Stegostoma tigrinum: one gene and its partner. The protein of the gene in region 1 purifies or fractionates together with the protein of each later gene. This does not show direct contact. Links are inferred from orthologs where the notes say so. Each region holds a gene or a part of one and is shown on either strand. Other genes may lie near its edges.

Region 1 (8,585 bases):
AGTTTCCCCAGGGGTGGGTTTTGAGACCTTCACTCTTGCTGATATTTATAATTTAATAACCTAGATCTTGGTGCAATGGATGAAACTGGCATGCCTGAATGATATAAATCTCTGAAAATTTTGAACTGAGAAGCATTATGTAGAAATTCAGAAGGGTTACAGTTCGAGAAATAGGCTGATGTTCAACACTGAAGAGTGTGAAATGACTCATTTTTGAAAGAGCAGGCAATACTAAAGAAAGCACAAGTTATTGAAGGTGGTAGTACAGATTTAAACAGTAGCTAATAAAGCATACACTAACCTAGTCTTTATTAATCAGGAACAAGAATAAGAAAGTAAGGAAGTTATCAAAGAAAAAAGAATTGCAGCTACTAGAAATCTAAAACAAAAACAGAAATTAATTTGATTTTGTTTTGCTTTCTTATTGTCACATGCACCCAAGTAAAGTGAAAAGTTGTGTGCCATACATGCAGATCATAACATATAAAGATCGTAGCATGACTGAACACAGCAAGGATACAAAATCACGATTGTAAAGATGGTGCACAAAAAGCAAAATCAACATCAGATCTGAAATTTGAGCAGTCCATTCAGAAGACGAGTAACAGCAGTGAAGAAGCTTTTCTTGAACCTAGTGTCTAAGTGCATTTAAGCTTTTGTGTTTTCTGCCTGAAGGAAGAAGTTGGAAGAGGTTATAACTGGGGTGGGAGGGTCTTTTCAAAGCAAAGAAGGGAAGATGGAGTCAATGGATGGAAAGCTGGCTTGTGTGGTGATCTGAGGTGTGTGTTGGAAAATCTCAGCAAGTTTGGCAGCATCTGTGGAAAGAAAGCAGAGTTACGGACTTTAAACGTTAATGCTGCCTTCTCTCCACAGATGTTAAACTTGTATATCCTCAACCTGAGCATCACACGTCACCCCATACTATTTTTTTTCAATTCACTCGTGGGACATGGGCATTGCTGGCTGGGCCAGCATTTGTTACCTGCCTTAAATGTCTTTGGAGAAAATGGTGTTGACTGCATTCTTGAATCACTGCAGTCCATATACTGTAGGTTGACCCACAATGCCCTTAAGGCAGGGAATTCCATGATTTTGACCCGGTGAGAGTAAAGGGATGGCAATATATTTCCAAGTCAGGATGGTGGCTGGCTTAGAGGTGAACTTGCAAGTGACAGTGTTCCCATGTATCTGCTGCCCTTGGCCTTCCAGATGGAAATGGTCATGAGTTTGGAAAGTGTTTTCAAGAATCCTTGTAATATCCACAAGCTGCAGTTCAAAAATTCACCAAACTGGTCCTACTGAGCATTGGAGGAGGGGTTGTGGTGTAAGTCAAGTGGGCCACTTTGTTCCTGGACGGAGTCAAGCTTCTTGAGCATTGTTGGAGCTGCTCAAGTGGGCAGTATTCCGTCACATTCCTGACATGTCAAGTAGGTGGTGGGCAGACTTCAGGCAGTCAGATGGAGAGTTACTCGCTGCAGTACTCCTAGCTTATGAACTGCTGTTGCAGTCACTGCGCTTCTGTGCAAAGCCCAGTCTTTGTCAATGCCAACCCCCAGGATGTTCGAAGTGGGACATTCAGTGATGGAAACACCGTTAAATGTCAAGGGGGCAATAGATTGTCTTCAACTGAAGATGGTCACTACCTGGCATTTCTCTGACACAAGTTTTGATCACTACCCTGAACAACTCCAGCAGAGGTGCCCTACAGCTGAGATGACTGGCTTCCAACAATAACAACCACTTTCCTATGACTCCAACTAGCACGGAGTTTGCCCCCCATTCCCATTGATTACAGTTTCCCTAAGGCAACTTGGTCCCATTTGGAGTCAAATGTGGCCATTATGTCAAGGACTTTCACTCTCCCCTCTGGAATTCAGCACTTCTGTCCATATTAAACCAAAACTGTAATAGGGTCAGGAGCTGAGAGCCCTAACAGAGCCAAACTGGGTGTCAATGACCAGGTTATCGCTGAGCAAGTGCTGTTTGACAGCACTGCTGAAGACATTTCAACACTAACACTACAATGGCTTTAACAGGTGTATTTAGTGCTTCGTTTTGAAGAAAGGTTGAGACAGAAGTATGAGCAATCTGCTTCAAAGCCCATAAACCCCAAAGTGGCTTTGGACTTTTTTTCCTAAATTTGGAAAAGCAGTAGCCTGAATGAGTCATGTCAAGCTCCCACAGAACTAAGATTTTTAGTTTTAGTTTTTCAGTGGCAGTTGCTGGGGTCTTGAAGCTGGATGTGGAAGCTGTTTTTTCTCTCTCTGTTACAGCTAAAAGCTGGGGATTCTCTTCCTGCTGCTAGAATTGCATGTGAGACACTATTTTATTGAATTTGCCTTTGCCAAGGGTGTATTTAAGAGTTAACTAGGTGTAGAGCTGGATGAACACAGCAGGCCGGCTGATGTTTCGGGCCTAAACCCTTCTGCAGAAATTGTGCTCTGATGCTGCTTAGCTTGCTTTGTTCATCCAGCTCTACGCCTTGTTATCTCAGATTCTCCAGCATCCGCAGTTCCTGCTATCTCTGTGTTTAAGAGTTAATGTTTAGCAGTTAGTCTGTTATTGTTAAGTATTCCAGCAGTTAGGTTATTTGAATTTTTATTGTGTTTTAACTAAATGTGCAAATAGTGGTATTTTTTGCTTCAAGACTGGTAGTTGACAAATCAAATTGTATCTGGAACACCACACCTGACCTAGGCTGTCATAATGATGGGGTGTGCGCACACTTGGTGGTTAGTCTAGTCTGGTCTGGTCTGGTCTAGTCTAAAAGGATAGGAAGTAACTGGAAAAAACACACAAAACAATGAGTGTGGTTCCAGGGATAAGGAACTTCAATTACATGGGTAAACTGGAGAAGTTTGGGCTACTTATTTTGTAGAAGTTTAAACAAGATTCAATGGAGATATCCAACATCTCACAGGCCTCTCGACACGGTAGAATACTGAACTAAAACCCCACTGTTAGAAGGCTCAAGAACAAGATGCTGCTGTTGGAGTGGACAAGGTCAAAAATCATATTACACCAAGTTTAATCCAACAGGCTTATTTGCAGACAGAAGCTTTCAGAGTCTCATCTGAAGCCAGAGCGGAACTCCCAGAAGTTGTCTTCGAATAAAGCTGTTGGACTATCGCCTGGGGCTGCAATTTTTGACAGAGAACAACACTGCACAGATTGAAACTAAATGGCAAAAGAAGCAATGGTGAGTGGATGAAAGAGAGTTTTGGAACACATCAACAACCTGGAACAAATAGTCTTAAGGTATAGTTTAATTGTAACATCTAAAAGTGAAGTAGATTATCATTTGAAAGGGGACACTACACAGTCTTAGTGAGATAGCAATAAATAGTTTTAAGTAAATTGCTCATTCAGAAAATGATGCAAACATGACAGGCCAAATAGCCCTTTTCAAAGCTGTCACAACTAAGTCTCTCATCACGTGACGTTTGTAAAGTGGCCATACTCAATAATTTACAGCACTTCAATCTAAAACGAAAGCTGGGGAAAAAAAGCACCGATGTAATGGACTAAGTACTTGCTCACAGTAAAGTGTTTAGTCGCCTTGGGACATGGATCAGCACGAAAAAACAAGTTTGCCAAAGGCCTTTCACGAAAACTATATTTCACAACAAGGACTAGTAGCACGAAAGAGTTCCTGTATCAGAGAACGGAGCAGAAGGAGTGTGTAAAATCCGGCATTCAGGCGCTCTTTAACCTACTTCTTGTAGTCTACGCTGAAGAGCCGGAACCCAGCTGCTGCCCCTCCTCCTGAAGTCACTGCCGAGGCTTCTTGGCCCAACTCGGTCGATTCACTTCCCAGAGCCTGATCATTGTAGGACGTGCTGTTGGTCGCCATGCTCGCCCCGTGTCCCGGGCACCAGCTGCCAAAGTGGTGTGAACAGTTAGTTTAATCTGGGTAATGTCGAAAAGTCCCCGCCGCCTGCCAGCCGGTCCCAACTCGAGCGACACCGGAAATCTGCCGGGGGAGGAGGTCAGCTGACACCGAGGTCACATGACCCGGCGATACCATGGAAACGCCCCTTGCACATAACCGTCGTGACGCCGCCCTGCTCAACTGGAGGGGAAAGAGTTGCTGTTTTCTTCTTTAAAAACACTCAATGCAAATTCGTGGTAAGGACGTAAGAGACGGAGTAGGTCACATTTATAATCACACGTCCCTTTCCAAAACGACGATGCCAAATTCAGGGAGTCGTCGTACAAGAGGAAATTGGCTCAGAAATATAAGTAAGAAACGTCTCAGGTTTGTTTGTTGGATGGAGTCAAACTCCTAATGTGTGTGTAGTTATCCATATGCTACTGTACAGAAACGACTGTATGTACATAAAGATATGTCTATGAATAAAATATGTTTTTAAAGTTACGGAAAAGTTGGCCCACAAATGAGCCAAATGAAATGAATGAGATGAACAGTGGTAAATGAAAGGTAATTGAAACTCAGTGTCAAAGCCCATGTAATGTAAGAAGGAACATGCTCTCAGAGCATCACCACTCTAATTATTACAAAGGGTTACACTCTAATAATGTTACTACTATGCACCCAGAGAGAAAAAGGGAAAAAAAAACTTGGAAATGTACTGGTCATATTAGAGCACTATTGATACTACAGACAGGTTGGACTAGTATGCATCATTTGTAATTTTTACTGGTATTTCATCAGGATTTTGAAAATATTTAGCAAATCTTTTAGATTTCTTCTGCACTGTCTAAAATGAACACAAAACAGAACAAGCTCTTTGGACCACCTTGAAAAGCATTAACATCCTTCTTGTACACATACTCCAGCTGCTATATAATTTCATTGTAACCTCCCTGCTCCTATTAATGAAATGTAGAATACTGAATATGCTTTATTGACAAAGAACAAAGAAAATTACAGCACAGGAACAGGCCCTTCGGCCCTCCAAGCCTGCACTGATCCAGATCCTCTCTCTAAACTGTTGCCTATTTTCCAAGGATCTGTGTCCCTCTGCTCCCTGCCCATTCATGTATCTGTCTAGATACATCTTAAATGATGCTATCATGCCCACCTCTACCACCTCTGCTGGCAATGCGTTCCAGGCACCCACCACCCTCTGCGTAAAGAACTTTCCACGCATATCTCCCTCAAACTTTTCCCCAGTCACCTTGAAATCGTAGTAATTGAGTCCCCCACTCTGGGGAAAAAGCTTCTCGCTATCCACCCTGTCTATACCTCTCATGATTTTGTGGACCTCAGTCAGGTCCCCTCCTCAACCTCCGTCTTTCTAATGTAAATTACCCTAATCCACTCAACCTGTCTTCATACCTAGAAGAGACAGTTCTCTCTTTGTCTTGCCACTTTAAATGACTTATGTATAAATACCCAGACCTTATTCTCTGACACACCCTTTGGAAAAGTGTAGTTTCTTTTATTCTGTCTCTACACATGTTTGTACCAAAATGTATCTCCTCATACTTCACACTGAACTTTATCGACCCACTCAACAAAAGTGCCAATGTTCCTTTGAAGTTCTGTGTTGTCCTCTTCAAACTTCCAATTCTCCTGAGATTTCTGTCATCCACAAGGTTGAAAATTGCACCTAGCACATAAGATCTCAATCATTTATTCCTATGTTAGGAAAAGCAAGGATTCCAAAAGTGAACCCTGGGGGACTTCACTACAAACCTGGCAGCACAAAAAGTATCCATTATCTATTAAGCTCTGTTTCCTATCTCAGTCAATTTTGTATCCACATTGCTACTGTCCCTTTTATTCCATACGTGATAACTTTCTTAATAAGTCTGGTTTTTGTGTGGCACTGTATTGAATGCCTTTTGGAAATCCATGTGCACCATATAACAGCTTTGTCCTCACAACAACAATACAAAAGGTCGAGCAAATCAGTTAGACAAGATTTTCCCTTAGTACGTCCAGACTGACTCTTCTGAATCAACTGATATTTTTTCATATGTTATTACCTCTATTCTGAAAAATTGTTGGCATAGTTAACACCAAGAAGGAAAGCCTTAGTCTATAGGGCTATATAGACAGACTGGCCTGGTGGGCTGAACAGTGCAAATGCAATTTAATCCTGAAATGTGTGAGGTCATGCATTTTGGGAGAATTAACAAGGCAAGGGAGTACCCCTTGAATGGTAGGACTCTAGGGAGCGCAGTGGTTCAAAGAGACCTTTGTGTGCATGTCCATAGATCCTTGAAGGCATCAGGACAGATAGATAAGGTCATGAAGATAAGGTCATAAGGAATACCTACCTTGAATAGTCAAGACATTGAATACACAAGCAAAGAATTGATGATTGAGCTGTCTATAAAATTGGTTCGGCCAAAGCTGTAGCACTGTATGGAGCTCTTATTGTCACTATAGGAAAATGTGATTGCATTAGAGTCAATGCAGAAGAAATTTACCATGATGTTGCCTGGACTGGAGTTAATCAGCTATGAAGAAAAACTAAATAGAAAAGAAGAAGAATTGGCTGACAAGGAATCTGATTAAAGTATACAAGGTTAAATAGATAGAGAGAAACTTTTTCCCTTAGCAGAGGGGTCAAAAACCATCTACAAGATGCACTGCAACAACTCACCAAGGTTCCTTAGATAGCACCTTACAAACCAGTTCTCTCTAGAACATTAAAGGAAAAGGACATCAGGTACATGAGAACAGCACCACCAGCAAGTTCCCCTCCAAACCACACACCATCCTGACTTGGAACAACATCGCCATTCCTTCACTGTCTCTAGGGCAAAATCCTGGAACTCATGGATTGTAGCAGTTCAAGAAGGCAACTCACTACCATCTTCTCAGCACCAATTAGGCATGTGTAATAAATGCTAGGCTAGCCAATGTTGCCCACATCCCATTAATTCATAAATAAATTTCAAAACACACCAACATGTTTAGGTTTAAAATTAGGCCTTGCAGATGATGAATTCAGAAGGCAACAAGAAGGGAGAGGAAGAGTATTAAAGAAGGAAAAGTAAAGTATACAAATAGAGGCCACCAAATTCAGGAATTTTTATTAGAGTGCGGGTGAGAAGATGAGTCTATTGTGAAACACCTTGAGAACTATTGAATTTGATTTTGTTTGTATTGTCAATCATGAGATGTTGTATTAGCAGTAGATGAGACAATATTGCTCAAAAAGTAAGAATATCAATAAAAAACAGTCCCCCTACACAACATCTGTGTTCTACTTCAACATTTTTTCTTTATCTCTTTATTTGTATCTAAGATTTGTACCTAGGTATTTTGTATCTGAAATGACACCAAGTGGGGCAACATTGTAAACTTTTCACTGTACTCCTGTACTTGAGTACTAATGACAGTAAACCTACAGGGCATTCTGCTATAATGCGCATTCCAGCAACACGAATTGAGAATGATGCAATTGACAAATCAGTGAATGGTATTTCCACAGTGCGAACTTTGTGTTGGCTGTAACATGATTCCGTTGAGTCCACTGGACCTGATGTTATTGAATGTTTTTCTTTGATTCACAATACTCAAGGTGAAACCTAACCATTGATTCATAAGGTTTTAGCACAACTTCCTTTTTGTTAACTATGCATCTATTTATATCCATAGTCTAACACCTGCCTTTCTCACCAAAACCTCAGTTACATACTTCCAAGCTGAATTATTTTCAACAGCTGCGTATCTTTGACTTAACTACAAATCCTAATCCCTCCTTTTGCTCCGACACGAAATAAATGTGGAACATTCAAAGGTTGATGAGGTTTGCGTGCAAGATTTCATGGCTGCCGTCAAAGCTACCCTAAAGAATTTGTATAAAAATAGTCAACATACCAGTTCTTGAAATATCAGTTCCCTCTTCTGGAACCTGTTACTGTATAACAGTGAGGAAAATTTCGGGTTTGCTTGGCTGTGGAGCAGGTAGTTTACCAACATTCACCGTCGAGTTCTGTATGGAGAACAGTCACTTGAGCAAGATTGAGAAAGGCCAGTGGCTCCTGTAGAACAGGTCCGTCCAACAGGTGGACCAGGCACTGGACTGTGAATATTCACTTCCCAGCCATGGTCATACTGCAGCCACATTTCCGTAATGACAATTAGATCATATCAGTTCACTTCAGTTAATGCTGTCTTTTCATCTGCTTTGTTGCAAATGCAGGGAGTGTTTTAGTGATAGTGGAGTTTAAAGGGATGGATAGAGGTTATAGAGATAGGTTGGGAGGTTTATACCAGCTGCGGAAAGCTACATGGATACTGGGAATTGAAGGAACGGATAGATTTGGTCTTACGAAGGTTGACAGGTAATCAAGAATGTTACAGTTTCGGAGTTACGGAAAATTGCAGATGCAGGAGGTACGGGGGCTGGATTAGATTCCAGAGATAGGCATAGATGCAGGGAGCAAGAGACACACACAAACACACGGAGCTTGAGTGTTGAGTGATATTTTTTGGTGCTCTGCTCCTAACCTTGCTTTTCCTATCGGCCCTTTATCTCAAAAGCGCGATTTTGTATAACACGATGTTACGCTGGAACTCAAGTATCGCATTAAAGCAGAACTCTAATTCTAACATACGAAATGCATCCATTCCAAGGGCTTTTCACAGAGTGTGTAAGAAA
Region 2 (9,174 bases), about 31 Mb from region 1:
ACTTATAATGTCTAAGAACCTAATTACGAACTTTCATCCCACCACCGAGAACCTGATTCTTGGCCTTGTGCACAATTAGGTTCCCACCACCACCACCTCCCAACTGATGTTGCTTTTTGCTCCTGACAGTTGCACAAGATTCCATCAATTTCTAACTGAAAAGGAATTATGACATTCTTTGAAATCTTTTTTGGGGTAAATTCTAACATTTCACTGCATTTAGTTGTGAAGAGTTACTGCATCAAACATTAATTTTTATACTTCATTAGTTGGATTCACATTTTGGACTTCCTTTTTAAAAGAAAGGAATTTCACTGAAACAAACGGACTCTGAACGGATTCAAATAGCCTGTAATTTGCATTACTATAAGCTACATTTCATTCCACAGAGTCACAAGCTCTAGGAAGTTCACCAGAAACAATACACTCCTGCACAGGTATTAACAGTTTGTGTCAAAATGGAGACAAAAAGTATACAAGAGGACAATCAGCGAATACGATGTGCAGATGTGAACTAAAGCTGTCGTTTGAAATATAGCATGGATTCGTAAATCTTTAATGGCAGTTAGAGAGGAATCATGTAACCAAATAAGCTTTGTGCATGAATTTGGACTTGGTCTGAAATAGAATGCAATGGCAGAAGGGACAAAAAGCTGCTCTATCTCCTTCCCCCTTCAATATAACAACTAACCTTAGAGTTTGCTGCAACTTGATCTCAGTCTATATCTCTGCCAGCACACAGAGAATTCCTCAGGAAAAACGTCTAAATGTCTACTGCAGCATCTGCTGAAGAACAAAGAATACCCACCCATATTTTGAAACATCAACTCAGTGGCTTATGAATATCAGAGGGACCAGGATACCAGCTATAAGCTATGACATGCTTTTATTTCATATTTAGTCAAATTTGCCTACTTTACACTTCATCTGTGCTGCTCCTTTGCCATGACTCCTTCATCTATAATTGAGTGCATGGATTTTGAGAGTTGCATTGCATTTTGGAAATGTGTTAACCCTTTAATGATTTTACCATGGGTCATTTCCAGTACAATAACTTGACTCAATATTTGTCAAAAACCCAAAGGAACCTGTCTGACTAATCCTTACCACTGGCACATACAGTTAATTACAAACATTAGTTCAGCAGTTTAAAATAGCAGTTTTTAAAAACACCTTTACAGTCAAGCAAGGCGATACAAACAAGAGAGCCATTCAATTCCTCCTTACCTGGTTGTTACCATTTTAGTAATGAATTTATAACAAGACCACTAAAGAGGGCCATGTGGCTGCATATGACTGTTATATCATTGCCACATGATACATTATATTATTATTTGTTTCATAAATTAATTTCAAATTAAATTGAATTTCAAAACATTTTGTTATACTACATTTGCAAGTGAAGTAGGTTCAGATACAGGCACAGGTAGACAAACAGGAGGCTGGAAGAACACAGCAAGCCAGGCAGCATCTGGAGGAAAGGAGGAGTCAAAACTTTAAGTAATTACCCTTCTGCTGTCCTGGCTTGCTGTGTTCTTCCAGCCTCCTATTTGTCTGCCTTGGATTCCAGCATCTGCAGTTTGTTTTTTGTCTCAGAAAGAGGCACAAGCTGATTAGCCTCCACAGTTATCAAACAGGGCTGTCTATTTGTGATAATGGGAACTGCAGATGCTGGAGAATCCAAGATAATAAAATGTGAGGCTGGATGAACACAGCAGGCCCAGCAGCATCTGTGCTCCTGAGATGCTGCTGGGCCTGCTATGTTCACCCAGCCTCACATTTTATTATCAGGGCTGTCTATTTGTTTACTTGGGCTCACAGCTATTTACTGAAGTAAGCCTCAAGGCCAGGATGGACATTATTAAAGATTTGAAGATTTAAAACATGAGCTTTGTTTGCTATAAGAACCAAGATAAACTAGAGTAATAAGTTAGATAAGATCCCGCAAAAAATATGAGAAGTTTCCTGCCTGTCTTAGAAAATTGATAAATATTCAGCAGAGCAGTATGCATATAATTTTGCATTAGTACCACAATATGGCTGTAGCTAAAATGGTAACACAGCCAATCCTTAACTCAAAGTTGTCTCTACTTGAATTGTATTGAAAATTAACTAAGCGTTGTAGAAAATCTTAACTACTACATCATTCAAGGATTGACGGTTGTGGGGAATACATTATCGAAGGAGGCTGCTGAATCTGATTGCATCAGCAAATCCAAGCTAAATATTCTTAAATGATTGAAAAAAATTTGATGTACATGTTTTAGAGCTCTCAGCGGATGTGATATTTCCAAGGTATTGGATCTACTCTTCTGAGCTTTTCCAGCAATTTCTGTTTTTGTTTCTGATTATACTTCAACAGATGCATTTAGCTGAAAGGAAATCTGATCAGCTTGCAGAAACTAACTACAAAATGTTTGTCTGTATGTCAGTGTTCACATAACTAAGGACAACTTGTCATCTTAATTTTGTACTTTTGCTCCCTAACAATGTTGAAGTCAGTGAAGTATTTTAGGACGGGGTTGTATGAACAAATTGGCACAAATAAAATATGGAACCCAAAGAAATAGCGAGAAAAGAGATAGGTTTGAGGCTAGTATAGTAGATAAGGAAAGTTAAAGAGTCAAGGCAGGCAAGAGCACAGCAGAGAATGAAGTAAGGCTCATAAATTAAACTGCATTTATTTCAAAGCAAGAGGCCTGACAGGTAAGGCAGATACATTTAGGGCATGATTGGGAATGTGGGACTGGGAAATTATATCTATTTGAAAATCGTGGCCCAGGGAGAGGCAAGATTGGCAGTTTAATGTTCTGGACTACAGAAATTATAGGGAAGATAGAAAGTGGGGGCAAAGCAGGAGGGTGAGTGGAGTTCTTGGTTGTGGATAACATTAGGTTGTACTTAGGCAAGGCATTCTTGGAAGAACGTCCAGTGAAGTTACATGGGTGGAACTGAGAAAGAGATGATCAACTTATTGGGATTGTACTATAGGGCCCCCAATAATCAGTTTGAAATTGAGAAGCAAATATGTCAGGACATCTCAGATATACAAGAAGAATAGGTTGTAATGGTAGGGAATTTTAACTTTCCAAACATAGACTAGCACTGCCATAGTGTTAAGAGCTTGGTTGAAAAGAAATTTGTTAAGCGTGTATAAGAAAACGTTCTTATTCAGTACGTGGGTGTACCAGCTAGGGGAGCAAAACTGACCTTCTCTTAGGAAATAAGGTAGGGCAAGTGACTGAGGTGCCAGTGGGGAAGCACTTTAGAGCAAGTGATCATAATTCTACTAGTTTTAAAATAATTATGGAAAAGGATAAACCTGATCTAAAAGTCGAAGTTCTAAATTGGAGTAAGGCAAAATGTAACAGTATTGGGAAGGATCTTTTGGAAGTTGATTAGGGGAGATAGGTTCACATCTAAAGATACAGTTGGAAAATGGGAGACCTTCAAAAACAAATTAATACGAATTCAGAGACAGTGTGTTTCTATTAGTGCAAAAGGCAAGGCTGGTAGGTATAGGGAATTCTGCATGTCTAGAAAACTTGAGGTTCTGTCAAGAAGAGGGAGGTACATGTTAGGTAGACAGTTGGGGTATAGTATGGGGCAGTAAGAGTGTACTTAAGAGGGATTTCACAAAGGCAAAAAGGAGACGAGAGAGCTTTGGCAAATAGTGTTAACGAGAATCGAAAGAGATTTTACAAATGCATTGAGGGCAAAAGACTGGGGAGCTAATAGGGACACTTAAAGATCAACAAGGCCATATACGTGTGGAACGACAGGAGATGGATAGGATACTAAATGAATATTTCACATCAGTATTTACTGCTGAGAAGGACATGGAAGCTAGAGAACTTGGGAAATAAATAGTGATGTTTTGAAAAGTGTTCATAGGAGGTGCTGGAGGTCTTAAAATGCTAGGTACAGATAAACCCCAAGTCCTGATCAGCTGTATCCCAGAACTTTGAGGGAAGCTGGGTGCTTGATGAAATATTTGTATCATCAATAGTCACAAGTGAGGTGCCAGATGACTGATGGGCGGCTAATGTGGTTTATTTAAGAAAGGTAGTAAGGAGACACCAGGAAACTATGGATTGGTGAGCCTAGTGCCAGTGGTAAGTTCTTAGACGGGATTCTGAGAGACAGGATTTATATGTATATGGAAAGGTAAGGGCTGATTAGGGATAGTCAACATGGCTTTGTCTGTGAAAAACTGTATCTCACTACCTTGATTGAGTTTGTTGAATAGGCGAAAAAGAAGATTTACAAAGGCAAAGCAGTACACCTTGTCCACATGGACTTTAGCAAGGCATTTGACAAAGTTCCACATGGTAGACTGCTTAGCAAGGTTAGATCACGTGGGATTCGGTGGAGCTAGCCAACTGGATACAAATTGACTTGAAGGTAGGAGAGACTGGTGGTAGAAGGTTTTTTTAAAAAACTGGAGACCTGTGACCAGCAGTGTGCAATAGTATCCATTGCTTTTTGGTATTTATATAAATGACTTGGATGTGAAATATGAAAGGTATGGTTGGTAAAGTTGCAGATGACACTAAAATTGTTGGCAAAGTGGACAGTAAAGAAGGTTAGAGATAACACGGCGTAGAGCTGGATGAACACAGCAGGCCAAGCAGCAAAGCTTGACATTTCAGTCGGGACCCTTCTTCAGTAAAATAGGTTATCTCAGTGTAAATTGGGACCTTGATTAGATGGGCCAAGGAGTGGCAGGAGTTTAATTTAGATAAATGAGAAGTGTTGCACTTTGGTAAGGAAAACCAGGACAGGACTTACACAGTTAATGGTAGGACCAGAGGAAGCTGAACAATGAGGCTTTGGGGTCCAAATGCATATTTCCTTGAAAGTGGAGTTGCAGGTCGACAGGATGGTGAGGAAGGTGTTGACACACTAGCTTTTATTCATCAGAGCACTGAGTACAGGAGTTGGGAATTCATGATACGGACAAACAGGAAATTGGTAAGGTCACTTTTAGAATACCATGTGAAGGATATCTAACTGGCGAGTATGAGTTGGACTGCAAGGTCTGTTTCGGTGCTGTATAACACTATGACTCTACGAGGAAAAAAGTCAATCCGTTTGGACATATTCCAAATGTCAACCTTCGCCTTCCGTCCCACCCGCACCTTTATGCACCTGTCATTGTGCCAAAGGAAGTCATTCAACATGGAATCCTGATCTTGACTCTTGAAAATCTCTGATCTTCCGACGGAAGATAGGAATAAAATCGTTCAATAAAGACCGTTAAAAGTATGTATTCGTTTTACTCAATGTGATAGAAAATACCTACAGAAGACTGTGAAATCATTAAGTACCCTAATAAACGAGCAGTCTAGCACCCACCACTGCCAAAAAAATCGCGTGAAAAGCTTTAATACATTTTTTGTTAACTTAAGCCCATTTTAAAACGTCTTGAATTTACGACGTTTTTTTAAAAAAGAAAATCCCACTCAGAAACTAAATCGGGTGTTCCTAAAGTTATCTCTAAGGCCGTTTGATAGGCGTTTCGAAATAGCGCAATGACTTTCCTGAACGGTGGTGGTTGCCGTCACGGTGTAAAGGGCTGGCAGCTGGGAGGAAGTTTCCTGTGACGGACGCTTCACTTCGGGTTCGGTTCCGCCCACCTCGGTTTTTACGTTCATGTTTCGGAGAAATTTCGTTTCAATTCTCAACTGCCAGTCGGTGCTCCGGGAAGAGGGCTGTCCGGTCGTCATGATTAAAGCCATCCTGATATTTAACAACCATGGCAAGCCGCGGCTCTCCAAGTTTTATGAGCGCTATGTGAGTATGAGGGAGAGAGGGCCGGGATCGAAGCGCCCGTTAAACTGTCAACTTCCGCGTGCGGTCTGTACATCTAAACCGGGCACGCGCTCCAGGCCACATTCCAAAGTAGGGCTTGCGCTCGGAGCAACCTGGCGTCATCACAGAGACGGAGTCTTGCTCTCAAAGTGAGCTTCTACATTGGGCTGTCACAGCCGCATAGTAGAACCGCTCCACTTCGCCCACCGGCACTCGAGCACCGTATTTTGAATTCGAAGATTTGCCCGTCGGCAACTGTAAAGTTGGTGTACAGATTACACCAGGCTTTATTTCAATGAGCTGTACTGAATATTCCAAAGCAGAGATAGGTGGTGTTTCTTTCGAAACGCTGTTCTTCAGGTTGTCCTCCCCGATCTATGTGGTTGCGAAATTGCAGCATACAGCCATCGGCTGCACGAAGCGTTGTTTTAACACACGAGGTCAGACAAAACAAACATTTAAAGTTCAGCGAAGAAGAAAAATACTAAACTAAAGCAACATTTGTTATTTACGCATTGGGACGAAGTACCTTTTGAGTTTATCGAAAGCAAAAGTTTTCGAACTACATGTTGGAAAGGCAGGAGCGGTTGAAATCCAGTAGCGGCTACCCTGTGAGTTCATCCTGTGATAAATGCTTTCTAATTAGGGGGGCGTCTGAGGGAAAGGGCTGTGATATATTGGCACATCAGTAGTTAAGGTTGAGATGTGAGATCATCGGAGACTTGGAAGGCGATAGGCATTATGTGTCTAACTGTACAGCGTTCTAGTATTCCTACAAAAATAAAGTTTTATCAGACCCTAATTACTATTGCAAATACAGAGTGCATTTATATAGTGGCAAAGTGCGTTACAGCCAATGAGGTATGGACTGTAACAAGCAAAAAGTACTGGAGGAAACTCTGCAGGTCTGACAGTATCTGTAAAGAAAATCAGAGTTAACTTTCCAGTCCAGTGACCATCGTCAGAACTGATACGATCTCTTGCGCTGAAGAACACCTGGCAGCCACTTTGTATACAACAAGGTCTCTCAAATAGTCATGCAATAATTCAAAAACTGTGTGTTTGAATCTGTTGGTATTGGCAAGGATGCTAGAGATCACTCCCTTGCTGCTGCTCAAAAGAAATGTCATGGTTTTTTTTCATATACCGGCTTAGAAAGCAGATCACTGTGAATTGAACATCACCTCTTGATGGGTGTGGTGTGTTAACTTAGTTTTATTCTCCAGTCTTTGGCAAGAGTTTAATTAGGGGTAGGAATCAGCCATTTAGCCCCTTGCATCCACTTTGCCATGTTCTAACATGGCAGATAATCTATCTCAACATCTTTTTCACACATCATCCAGGTATCTGTTGATGTCATTAGTATTGAAAACTCAATCAATCTCTGTCTTGACTACAGAGATAATGGGAACTGCAGATGCTGGAGATTCCAAGATAATAAAATGTGAGGCTGGATGAACACAGCTGGCCAAGCAGCATCTCAGGAGCACAAAAGCTGACGTTTCGGGCCTAGACCCTTCATCAGAGAGGGGGATGGGGGGAGGGAACTGGAATAAATAGGGAGAGAGGGGGAGGCGGACCGAAGATGGAGAGTAAAGAAGATAGGTGGAGAAGGTGTGGGTGGGGAGGTAGGGAGGGGATAGGTCAGTCCAGGGAAGACGGACAGGTCAAGGAGGTGGGATGAGGTTAGTAGGTAGCTGGGGGTGCGGCTTGGGGTGGGAGGAAGGGATGGGTGAGAGGAAGAACCGGTTAGGGAGGCAGAGACAGGTTGGACTGGTTTTGGGATGCAGTGGGTGGGGGGGAAGAGCTGGGCTGGTTGTGTGGTGCAGTGGGGGGAGGGGATGAACTGGGCTGGTTTAGGGATGCAGTGGGGGAAGGGGAGATTTTGAAACTGGTGAAGTCCACATTGATACCATATGGCTGCAGGGTTCCCAGGCGGAATATGAGTTGCTGTTCCTGCAACCTTCGGGTGGCATCATTGTGGCAGTGCAGGAGGCCCATGATGGACATGTCATCAAGAGAATGGGAGGGGGAGTGGAAATGGTTTGCGACTGGGAGGTGCAGTTGTTTGTTGCGAACTGAGCGGAGGTGTTCTGCAAAGCGGTCCCCAAGCCTCCGCTTGGTTTCCCCAATGTAGAGAAAGCCGCACCGGGTACAGTGGATGCAGTATACCACATTGGCAGATTGGCAGATGCCCCACTGCATCCCTAAACCAGCCCAGTTCATCCCCTCCCCCCACTGCACCACACAACCAGCCCAGCTCTTCCCCCCCACCCACTGCATCCCAAAACCAGTCCAACCTGTCTCTGCCTCCCTAACCGGTTCTTCCTCTCACCCATCCCTTCCTCCCACCCCAAGCCGCACCCCCAGCTACCTACTAACCTCATCCCACCTCCTTGACCTGTCCGTCTTCCCTGGACTGACCTATCCCCTCCCTACCTCCCCACCCACACCTTCTCCACCTATCTTCTTTACTCTCCATCTTCGGTCCGCCTCCCCCTCTCTCCCTATTTATTCCAGTTCCCTCCCCCCATCCCCCTCTCTGATGAAGGGTCTAGGCCCGAAACGTCAGCTTTTGTGCTCCTGAGATGCTGCTTGGCCAGCTGTGTTCATCCAGCCTCACATTTTATTATCTGTCTTGACTACATACAGTTAGAGTTTCCAAAGCCCACTAGGGCAGAGAACACTAAAGATTCCTCCCTCTCCTGAGCCGAGGAATTCTTCCTCATCTCAATGCTTGCCCCTTATCTTTTAGAATCTGTGGCTTGGTTTAGACCCTGCAGCCAGAAGAGATATTTGTTCTGTATCTATCTTGTTTGTCTCTTTTAAGAATCTTGCAAGATTCAGTTAGATTTCGTCACATTCTTTGAAACTGTTAAAGAATACAAGCTTAGTCTCTTAGAGCCATAGAGCTGTACAGCATGGAAACAGATTCTTCAGTTCAACTCATCCGTGCTGATCAGATATCCTAAATGAGTCTAGTCGCATTTGCCAGCACTTGGCCCTTATCCCTCTAAACCATTCCTGTTCACATACCCATCCAGATGGAGGCTAGTATAATTGCAACAACACTTTGTCTGGCAGCTCATTCCATACACGCACTGCCCTCCATGAAAAAATTGCTCCTTAAGTCCCTTTTAAATCTTTCTCCTCTCACTTTAAAACTATGCCCTCTAGATTTGGACTTTGCTACCCTGAGAAAAAGACTTCGGCAACTGTATCTACGCCCCTCATAATTTTACAAATTTTTCAATTCACCTCTGAGCCTCTGACACGCCAGGGGAAATAGCCCCAGTTCAAACCCTCCAGCCCCAACAACATCTTTGTAAATCTTTTGTGAGCCCTTTCAAGTTTCACAGT

What was found.
Region 2: the proteins of ap3b1a (region 1) and AP-3 complex subunit sigma-1 fractionate together in Homo sapiens (co-fractionation; 5 studies listed by BioGRID and IntAct, counting the BioPlex papers as one, with this or other methods). This does not show direct contact. The link is inferred for Stegostoma tigrinum from reciprocal best matches to the Homo sapiens genes AP3B1 and AP3S1.

The regions. Positions count from the first base shown.
Region 1 is NC_081356.1:107,904,635-107,913,219, forward strand, and holds the start of ap3b1a (AP-3 complex subunit beta-1), read right to left. Parts: upstream 4,004-8,585; 5' UTR 3,854-4,003; coding exon 3,717-3,853; intron 1-3,716. UniProt on the Homo sapiens protein: Subunit of non-clathrin- and clathrin-associated adaptor protein complex 3 (AP-3) that plays a role in protein sorting in the late-Golgi/trans-Golgi network (TGN) and/or endosomes.
Region 2 is NC_081356.1:77,147,335-77,156,508, reverse strand, and holds the start of AP-3 complex subunit sigma-1, read left to right. Parts: upstream 1-5,570; 5' UTR 5,571-5,655; coding exon 5,656-5,796; intron 5,797-5,928; exon of another isoform or gene 5,929-6,380; coding exon of another isoform or gene 6,381-6,425; intron 6,426-9,174. UniProt on the Homo sapiens protein: Part of the AP-3 complex, an adaptor-related complex which is not clathrin-associated. The complex is associated with the Golgi region as well as more peripheral structures.